2 linked regions of the Oryzias latipes genome follow. Each later gene encodes a partner of the first gene's protein in a complex. Links are inferred from orthologs where the notes say so. Each region holds a gene or a part of one and is shown on either strand. Other genes may lie near its edges.

Region 1 (4,292 bases):
CATTGTGATCTCTTAATCATGCTTATTAATACTTGTATATTGAAGACTGCGGTATATAAAGGTGGAGAAATGCTGATGATTTTAGTATAAAGGAAATGATACTAAGAGAATAAACTGTCTGGGACTTTTTAAAGGAACTTTTTGTGTTTTGGATGTCAGACGATGTTTGTTCCAGATTTAAATCAAGGCGGTTTGATTTAAGGGCTCAGATTTAGAACCATTTCAAACTGTTTCATAAGCTGTTTATTCTGAAGAATCTGGTTAGCAGCTCATATGTGTCGTATTTTTGTGTCAGACAAATGACTTTAATTCGACAAGAACAGCAAAGTGAGTGAAATGCATCTTCACAATGTACTTCCATTGAATGCATCAGACCGACTCACTGCAACAAAGCTTCTGGCTGGGGGAGGAACAGAGTATATGAAGGTAAACTGAATTATGGTGGTGGAACCACAGCAAATAGCAATAAGCAGACTTTTTTCATTGCCTTCTTGTCATCCTGACATTCAAATATGACCCTTTTTCAACAACCACATTTCTACTCATGTCTACAATAAAGACTGTAGTAAAGTAAATAGTTAAGCTTTTGTAATTACTTGTATTTGACTGTATTAATTTATAAATAAAAATGCTGATTTTAGAAGAGCTTCAATATTTTCAAACCGTTTCCCATTTAATTCTAAATTTCAGTTATTTTGGGTTTTATTCTTTTTTTCCCATAGTTTTACTGTGATAAATAGTTTACTACTGTAGAAATAGTGACTATTTTAAAAATTATATGATTGCTATCCTTGTTATTGCTGTTGGAATTGACAAATAGATTTTAGTGTTGGTCGAATAAAAAGGCAACCAAAACAGAATTGAAAGCACTCGTACAGCAAAGTCTTCTTCCACTTTCGGCTTCTCCCATCAGGGGTCGCCACAGCGAACGAGTCGCATGGTAAATTTGGCAATGTTTTACGCCGGATGCCCTTCCTGACGCAACCTTCTCAAACCGGGCTTGGAACCGGCAGAGGTAGAGAAGGGAACAGGGAGCAGCCCGGAGTCGAACCCGGGTTTCACGGACGGAAGGCGCCGCAAACCAGCATGAGCTAAACTGGCTCCACTCGTACAGCAAAGACGATAAGTAAATAAAAGTAAACAAAACTATAAATGTAACATTTATGGAAGTTGGACAAACTTCAACACATACAAAAGATTTATGAAGCAACAGAAGAAGAAAAAACCTCTCTTCTACCTCACAATAAGGGCATTTGTTTTGATAAATCTTTAATAGATCTATTAATATGTCAATAACTAATAGCTGTTGAGGCAAAGTTTTCATTCAGTTTATGAAGAGACAGTTTACAAGCAAAGCTCTCTCACTGCACAAGACAAAAAGCACATTTAACAATTATGAATTATTACAATTATATTCCATTCCAGTCCGGATCATTTCAATAAGACCAGTCTGTCTTAATTGAATTTACACAAAGAATATAGGCCTTACAGGCCTTCCATCTGTTTTTCTTTTTCTCCTGCAAGACAAAACTCAGCGCAAACACACCGAGGCGACGACTTTACTGTGACGTCATCATCGTGCGCCCCATCTCCTGTTTATCCACCGTCATTCGTTGCTGGCAGTCCTGGGCCTTTTGGATAACGAGTCTCCGAGCCTCTTATCTGTGCAGTGTGTGGGGGTGAGTGGGTCTCCGCCTTCACCTGCTGTGGTCGAACGATTTAGGTCCAACGAACCGAGCTCGAACCCGAACATCATGGACACCGGTGGCGACACCAGCGAGGAGGCGACGGGCTCCTCCACCATGTCTGCGGCGCAGCGGAGGGCAGAGATGCGGAGGAGGAAACTGCTCCTGAACTCCGAGGACAGGCTCAACAGAATCGTGGGCTTCGCCAAAAACGGTTCCGACAACAACGGTACTAAAGCCCAGCCGAACCGCTGCAGGGCTCAGCGCGTTGACATCATCATGAGTCGAAGTTTTTACCAAAACACAATAATTTCATTTGTAGTAAGTGTCCACATGGTTCTTTGTGCGTTTCTACAAACGAGACTGCAGTAGAGAACTGATCCAAATGGAGTCAAGCATCGATGTTTGCACAAACTAGAGGGGAAGTCTGCAACCTTACAGAACCATTCAGGTCCATTTCTCACTGAACAAAACTCAAGAAGAGCCTCAAAATCTAATTTTACCCTTTAGAAACACAAGATACTGATTCGTATTTATGTTACTATTTCTGATCAATTTAAATGTACTGTTGTTTTTGGTATAAATAAAACATAAAGAGATTTATTTCTAAATATAAAACATTTTATAACTATTGACAGACGTTCACGTGGTTTCCTTTCAAAATAAGAGACACCTGGTTACACAAAGGAGCATCATCCGATGCAGCAACTGTAGTAGCAGGCGCTGTCATGTCCGCAGAAAAACAAAAAAAATACATGTTTGTGGTTCCTCTGAGCCAGAAATGTGAACATCTAAAGAAATAATGTTTAGTCAGAACTAATGAAGTGAATCCTGCTGTATTTTCTGAACAATAACTTGAACTTAAATCCTTGAATTTGTTTCAAAATGGAAAACCAAGGGACAAAAATAGAAAAATAATAAAAGAATTTCCAAATTTAGAAATAAAACACAAACTTGCCCGTTTCTGTGTTATTCTAAACTGATAGGTTTGATGTAACCTTTAGCACACCCATATGCTATATTGCAGAAATGTTTATATAGGTTTACATACAGTACTGGTTTCTTTTTTTTTTTCTAATTATTCTTTTCCACTTTCATCGAAGTATGTAAAGGGGCAGAATTCTTTTATTCTGTTCCCTTGAATTTCCCAGGCATAAGAATTTGTAGGATCGTTTTTTTTGTTTTTTTTTTTTTGTTTGTTTCGTGGAAAAGCATAGTAAATAAAGGAAAACAAATCCGCCTTATAAACCAGTCCACCTTAAGGATGAATTCTGCTTTTGCTTACTGACCTCCTTGTCAGCACCAAAACATCTGTCAAAAATATTTTGGCGCATCTTTGTTAAGCTTTGAAGCCTCGCCACTTGTTAGATTGTTGGAGCATTATGGGTAGTGTAGTCAGGAAGATCATGAAAAAAGTTCAACTTTTTCTGAACGATTTGGATAAAGTTTAAGTTAGTTTACTTTTTACTTTACAGTTACTTTTCAAAACCCAAAAAACGTTTGTTTTTCTATAAGCAGAGATTCATGAGGGGGGGGGGGGGGGGGGGGCATGTGCACATGCATTTTGGAGCGGATTACATTGATTGTTTTGGCTCTAAAAGCCTAAGGTTCATTTGAATAAACTATTGAATTTAAGACAATGCATGAAGTTATGTCTTTGTGCACTTCCTTTAATAGAAAATGCTAAGTGGTTTCATCCACACAGAAGGAGCTTCTCCCCAAACTTCTCACTGCTGACTGGAATTATTTTGCAGGTTCAGAAAACGTCTGAACTTCTTCTTTTATTCCTATAAGTCTTTAGTTTGGTTTGTATGTTCTTTGTTTGTTTTTCCCGCATGTTATTTCTGGTTCTCTGTTCTCCCGTTCAGGAGCTTCCCGGCGTCCTGCAGAGCCTCGTTTCCATCTTGACCTCGACAGGACGGAGCCGTGGTCCCCGTCCTCGTCTTCTCAGAGGCCGTCTCCCTTCCTGCCAGAATCGTCGGCGCTCAGCAGCCTGTCTCACACCGCCACTCCAGAGAGGAGGGGCTCGCCTCTGCCGGACTGCAGCGAGCCGCCGCCGGCCGTGGAGGATGACGTGGGCGCTCTCAGGCAGAGACTGAAGGGGGAGCGGGCGCCGTCGGACAACATCAGCGGCTCCCCGCGCAGGGGCCTCCAGAACTACCTGTCTCGCTTCGATGACGCCATGAAACTTCGGGGTCAGCTGGCCAGCGAGAAGCCGACTCAGGACGGCGGCGTTGAAACGGAGGAGTTCGATCCCTTCAGAGTCTTCAGGCTCGTCGGCAGCATCCTTCTCGCCGTGTTTGTCAGGATGTTTGTCTGCAAGTATCTGGTGAGTCTGCAGACACACCTCTGCACAAAGCACAACAATCCTATGACCGATTGATTGAAGAAATGTGTATTTGTCAAGTTTTCTGAATGCTTTAAGTCTGGGATTTGACCTTTTCATTGCAGTCAATATTTGCTCCTTTCCTGACCCTTGAACTGGCGTACATGGGATTATCCAAATACTTTCCAAAAGTGAGTTCGCTCTCCTTTATTCTGTGGGATCATGTTACATGCAGATGGCGTGAAGCAGGTTTGTCTTTTCAAAATGGGATTAATAGCTAT
Region 2 (4,207 bases), on another chromosome or scaffold:
CCTGAACTTTGAGTCCTCAGATGCCTGGAAATAAAACTAACAATGTCATCCCTTTCTTTGTTCCTAAAATCCTCAGGAGCAAGTTTTCCCATCAGCATTAGCTCGTGGCTGAAAACTAGGCGTCTAACGAATAACTGACTTTATCGATGCAGCGATTTTTATTCCTATGATCCAACCAGATCCATCTGAGGCAAAGTTGTTAATGGAATCGCCCTATATAATCAGTTATAGGGTGGGAAGTGTGAAAGGAGTGGGGGTGATGTATGGGTACGGGGAGGGGGGGACACTATATTTTTTTTGGTGCTTGTTTATTTTAATTTTCATGCTTGTTTTTACATTATTTATTTTGTTTTGTTTAATGTAAAGCACTTTGTGTTACGCTATCATATGAAAAGTGCTTTATAAATAAAGTTTGATAATAATGTTCCCTTTGGATTATTTGGATGTGGATAAACAACAGTAGGCTGAACTTTAGGAAAGTAAAATGTGAAGGGATTTGACATTAATAATTGTTTACTTGTTTGTTTGTACACATATTAAATTTACACTTTATTTTCTTGCAAGAAATTCAAGGAATCTGGAAAATTTCGCCTGCTCCGTTTGGTTTGACCCAGGTATTGACCTCTGAGTCACACAGGTTAAATTTTGGCTAAAGATGTGTTGGATCGATTTCAGGTCAATAAATCCAAATGTTCAAATTAGGGCTGGGCGATATGGCCTAAAAATAAAATATCCGATTTTCTTTTTTTTTTAATTCCCCCCGCTCGATTTAGTTTTTTTTTTTTTTTTAAATCGCCCGTAACAAAAAATTCGAATTAATTCAATCAATCGATTTTTCGCCCAGGCCTGGTTCAAATGAACAAATATCAACTATGAATCAGTGACCACAAATTATGATATGAATTGAATTGTTGTTCAAATGGATCGTTAGACCCCGACTGAAAATCAAAAGAGAAAATGTTTGGCTCAACATCAGGATACTTTGAAGTTGGCACTTACCTGTGCTATGTAGAAAACAATGTTCACGACCCATTTCACCTTTGCCTGTTGAGCAGTTCTCGATTTCACTGAAAAAGTAAGAAAACGTTTAAATATCACAACAATAAACCTTGAATTGTCAACATTTGAATATATTTAACTACTGCTTGTCATGATTTAAATACACATCTTATGAGCTGAAGGGAGTCGATAACGTCAAAATATTGAATAACTTGTTAATTTATGCAGATGTTTCTTACTGAGACTGAAGAAATATTATTTAATGCAAACAAATATCTTTTAAAACTGTAATAAATGACAAACTTAATGAAAACAGGTAAATAACGGGAACAAATGACAGCTGTTCACAATCAAACATGTATCACAAATGTGCAACATGTAAAAACGAGGCTCCGCACCAGCGCGGATTTGGCTATCCCGTACACCCATTTGCATCTCACCGTGTGTTTTTAGCTTGTCTGTTGTTTTGTTGATTTTGCGCTCCAGTCTGGCGTATTTAGCAAACTCGTCCATCATACTGATGGAAGACTGCTCCATCTTCATTCCCTGGATTTCAGTCCTCATCTCACTCTCCTGCTCAGCATCTTTTTGGATCATTTTAGAGAGCTGGGAAGAGTTTAAAACAACAACAACACAGAGGTTAACGAAAATACAAACAATAGATAAGAAATTGTGAGATGAAAGATTAAATTATCACGAATTAATATTGTTTAGCTGCCTTTCTTCTCTCGCACGCCTCATTTGCTTAAGTTTAGCTGTAAATCCAAATAGTTAAACAGTCCCAGCGTTAATAAAACAAACATAAATAAAAAAACGGCACTAAAAGTAAGTTGATGTGTAGACTCAACATTTTATCCCCATGTTGCGTTTTTGTTATTTTAACTACTTTTTAAAAGGTGACACATTAAGCAACAGCAGATCCTGGCATGCCAGTTGCGGCCATGAAAAACTTGCTGATTGTAGTTTGGTGGAGGCAGTGTGATGGTATGGGGCTGCAGACTCCATGAATGAAGAAAAATATTAAGATGCGGCTCTAGTGGCAATGCCACATCTAATCTGACCCGGACTGGACTCTCTTCCAAGAAGAAGACAACAAAAACCTTCACATGGACGTCCTACAGAATTGCACAATTGGGAAGATCACAAATGCACTGTGAGGTCAGTGTGATAGCCCTGACCTCAGTGCATTTTCTTTGCAAACATTGAAATCAAGATTATTTACGACATAAAAATATATTTCCAACAAGCTCCGCGAAATCACATAGCTATATAGACACATCCCTACTCTAAGTGTGGTTTAAGCGCACGCGGAAGATGCCTAATTAAATACAGCACTATTTATTTACTTTAGCGTTAGCTAACCTGGATGCTAAGCTAATCTGCAGCTATTCGAGGGATAGTATTAAATTTAAGCCACAATGTTGAGGAAAAACGTTACCGAAATTCATGTTTCTAAGGTTTTACATTCCTACTTACGAGAGACGACAGTGTAGACAAGAAGGTTTTCATGAGGTTGCAAAGAAAAACTGAGCCGAGCACCAGAAACCAGGCGTAGCCGGCCGCCATCTTTCCTCCTCTTTGCTGCAGCTAGGAAGCTCCTCGGCGGAGGGGAGGGTCTATTAGACTTGTTTCATAAATATAAATCAGTATTTTAATAGTTTTCATTTTTACCTGACAAAAAATAATGTGCATTATTTAAATAATTCGCTAAAACATAGATACAGCGTTTATGGAAGAGCGGGGCTTTCTTTTCTGCTACTGAAACAAACAAGTTTCACAATAATGTGTGGTTTCGTCCGCTTTTTAATGCGTTTCTTCGCAGATTCTTATGTATTACTTTGTAAGGAACACGCCCTGCGAGCCATTACAATCATGATTGAACAGTGAGAGTGCGCTGATTGGCACGCCGTCCTGCCCACACAGGTAAGATGTTTTCTTTTGAAAAATCTGCTGCCCCGAGCTCGGAGCCAATCAGCGAGGCCGGGGGGCGGGGCTTCGTTTTCCCCGGTTGCTTGGTAGGATAAGGAATCAAATATGCCGAGCCGGGGATCCAATCCGGAATGAGCTGGTTCTGGCACTGCTCGATCGTTGATGCAAACGTGCCACTCTGTTCTGGAGGTGTGGGAAGAAGGTGTACGCCTGACCTGAATTTCTTTGCTGACTAAAATAAAAAGAAAAAAGTTTTTTTTCCTCCTTTGTGCCTTTTGTCGCACAATCTCATCGACAATGGGAAGAAAGAAGGTAAGTAGGAAGGTGCATGTCAAATATGACTTGACATTCACGTGGAAATTGAAATGTCCTCCTTTTTAAATGGCGTCAAAAAATGGCTTTTAGGAAGAGTCGAATTAAAACAGTTGAAGGGGACGCAGATTTACTGTCGTTCGGCCAGTGGACGCGCTGATTCCACGCGCTCGTGTTGATATAGGGAAGTGGCGCCTTTTTTCCTCCGTCCTCGGTTCAGAGGAGGGAAAATGCCTTTTTTTTTCGTTCCTCCTTTTTTCGATCGAGTGGGTTCCCGCGTTACACAACCAGCCTGGCGTGACTTCATCATGTTGCTAAAACACTCCGCGCATCATGTATGTCGCGTTTGCTTAACTTGATGTGCAGACACCAAACAAAGGGGTGTAGCCTCAGGTGGCTTCCTTGAAATTACCTTTTTTCAGGGAATGTGGATTTCATGCACTGCTGGAGCCAAAAAATTGCCGCTCCCTAGCTCTGCAAAGTAGGGTTTTTTATTTCGATTATTTATTGTTATGCACCACTCCAGTGCAATAAATATGCAGTTGCTCTCGTGCAAAAAGAAAGCGGTCTGGTAATGCCAGATTTGAAAGAATAGCCACAAAAGGAGGACCGTGTTTTCATTTCCTGTAGGTAAAAGTTGGCGCATACCAATAATGTCTGAACAGAGGGTGGGAGGGGGGGAACTGCCCGTTGTCTGTACACTAAACCCCACTCGCGACGGAGCCCACAGATTGCATAATTTCTTTGTGATTTAAGGGGAGGAGAGGTGCCCATCCCCCCACCCCCGTATAATCTACACACCCACTTTTTGCTCACCCGTGAACGGTTATGGTTCATTCCAATAAAAAGTCTAATTGCTCTGCTGTTTTCTTTATGTTCCCAGGCTGTAGCTGATGGTGATGCGAGTGCAGAGGTTTGTAGCGAAATATTCATTACGTCACATTAAAGAAAAATGTAGAAAATGGAT

What was found. Proteins that work in one complex are often made in the same cells at the same time.
Region 2: camlg (region 1) and wrb share a complex: the UniProt entries of both Homo sapiens proteins name them as parts of the golgi to ER traffic (GET) complex. The link is inferred for Oryzias latipes from reciprocal best matches to the Homo sapiens genes CAMLG and GET1.

What each region holds. Positions count from the first base shown.
Region 1 is NC_019872.2:3,757,261-3,761,552, reverse strand, and holds the start of camlg (calcium signal-modulating cyclophilin ligand), read left to right. Parts: upstream 1-1,488; 5' UTR 1,489-1,754; coding exon 1,755-1,914; intron 1,915-3,553; coding exon 3,554-4,014; intron 4,015-4,136; coding exon 4,137-4,202; intron 4,203-4,292. UniProt on the Homo sapiens protein: Required for the post-translational delivery of tail-anchored (TA) proteins to the endoplasmic reticulum.
Region 2 is NC_019871.2:25,295,555-25,299,761, forward strand, and holds the start of wrb (tail-anchored protein insertion receptor WRB), read right to left. Parts: upstream 2,804-4,207; 5' UTR 2,672-2,803; exon of another isoform or gene 2,604-2,671; 5' UTR 2,566-2,603; coding exon 2,476-2,565; intron 1,606-2,475; coding exon 1,440-1,605; intron 1,068-1,439; coding exon 1,000-1,067; intron 1-999. Other genes in the region: non-histone chromosomal protein HMG-14A, read left to right, coding at 3,226-3,240, 4,124-4,153. UniProt on the Homo sapiens protein: Required for the post-translational delivery of tail-anchored (TA) proteins to the endoplasmic reticulum (ER).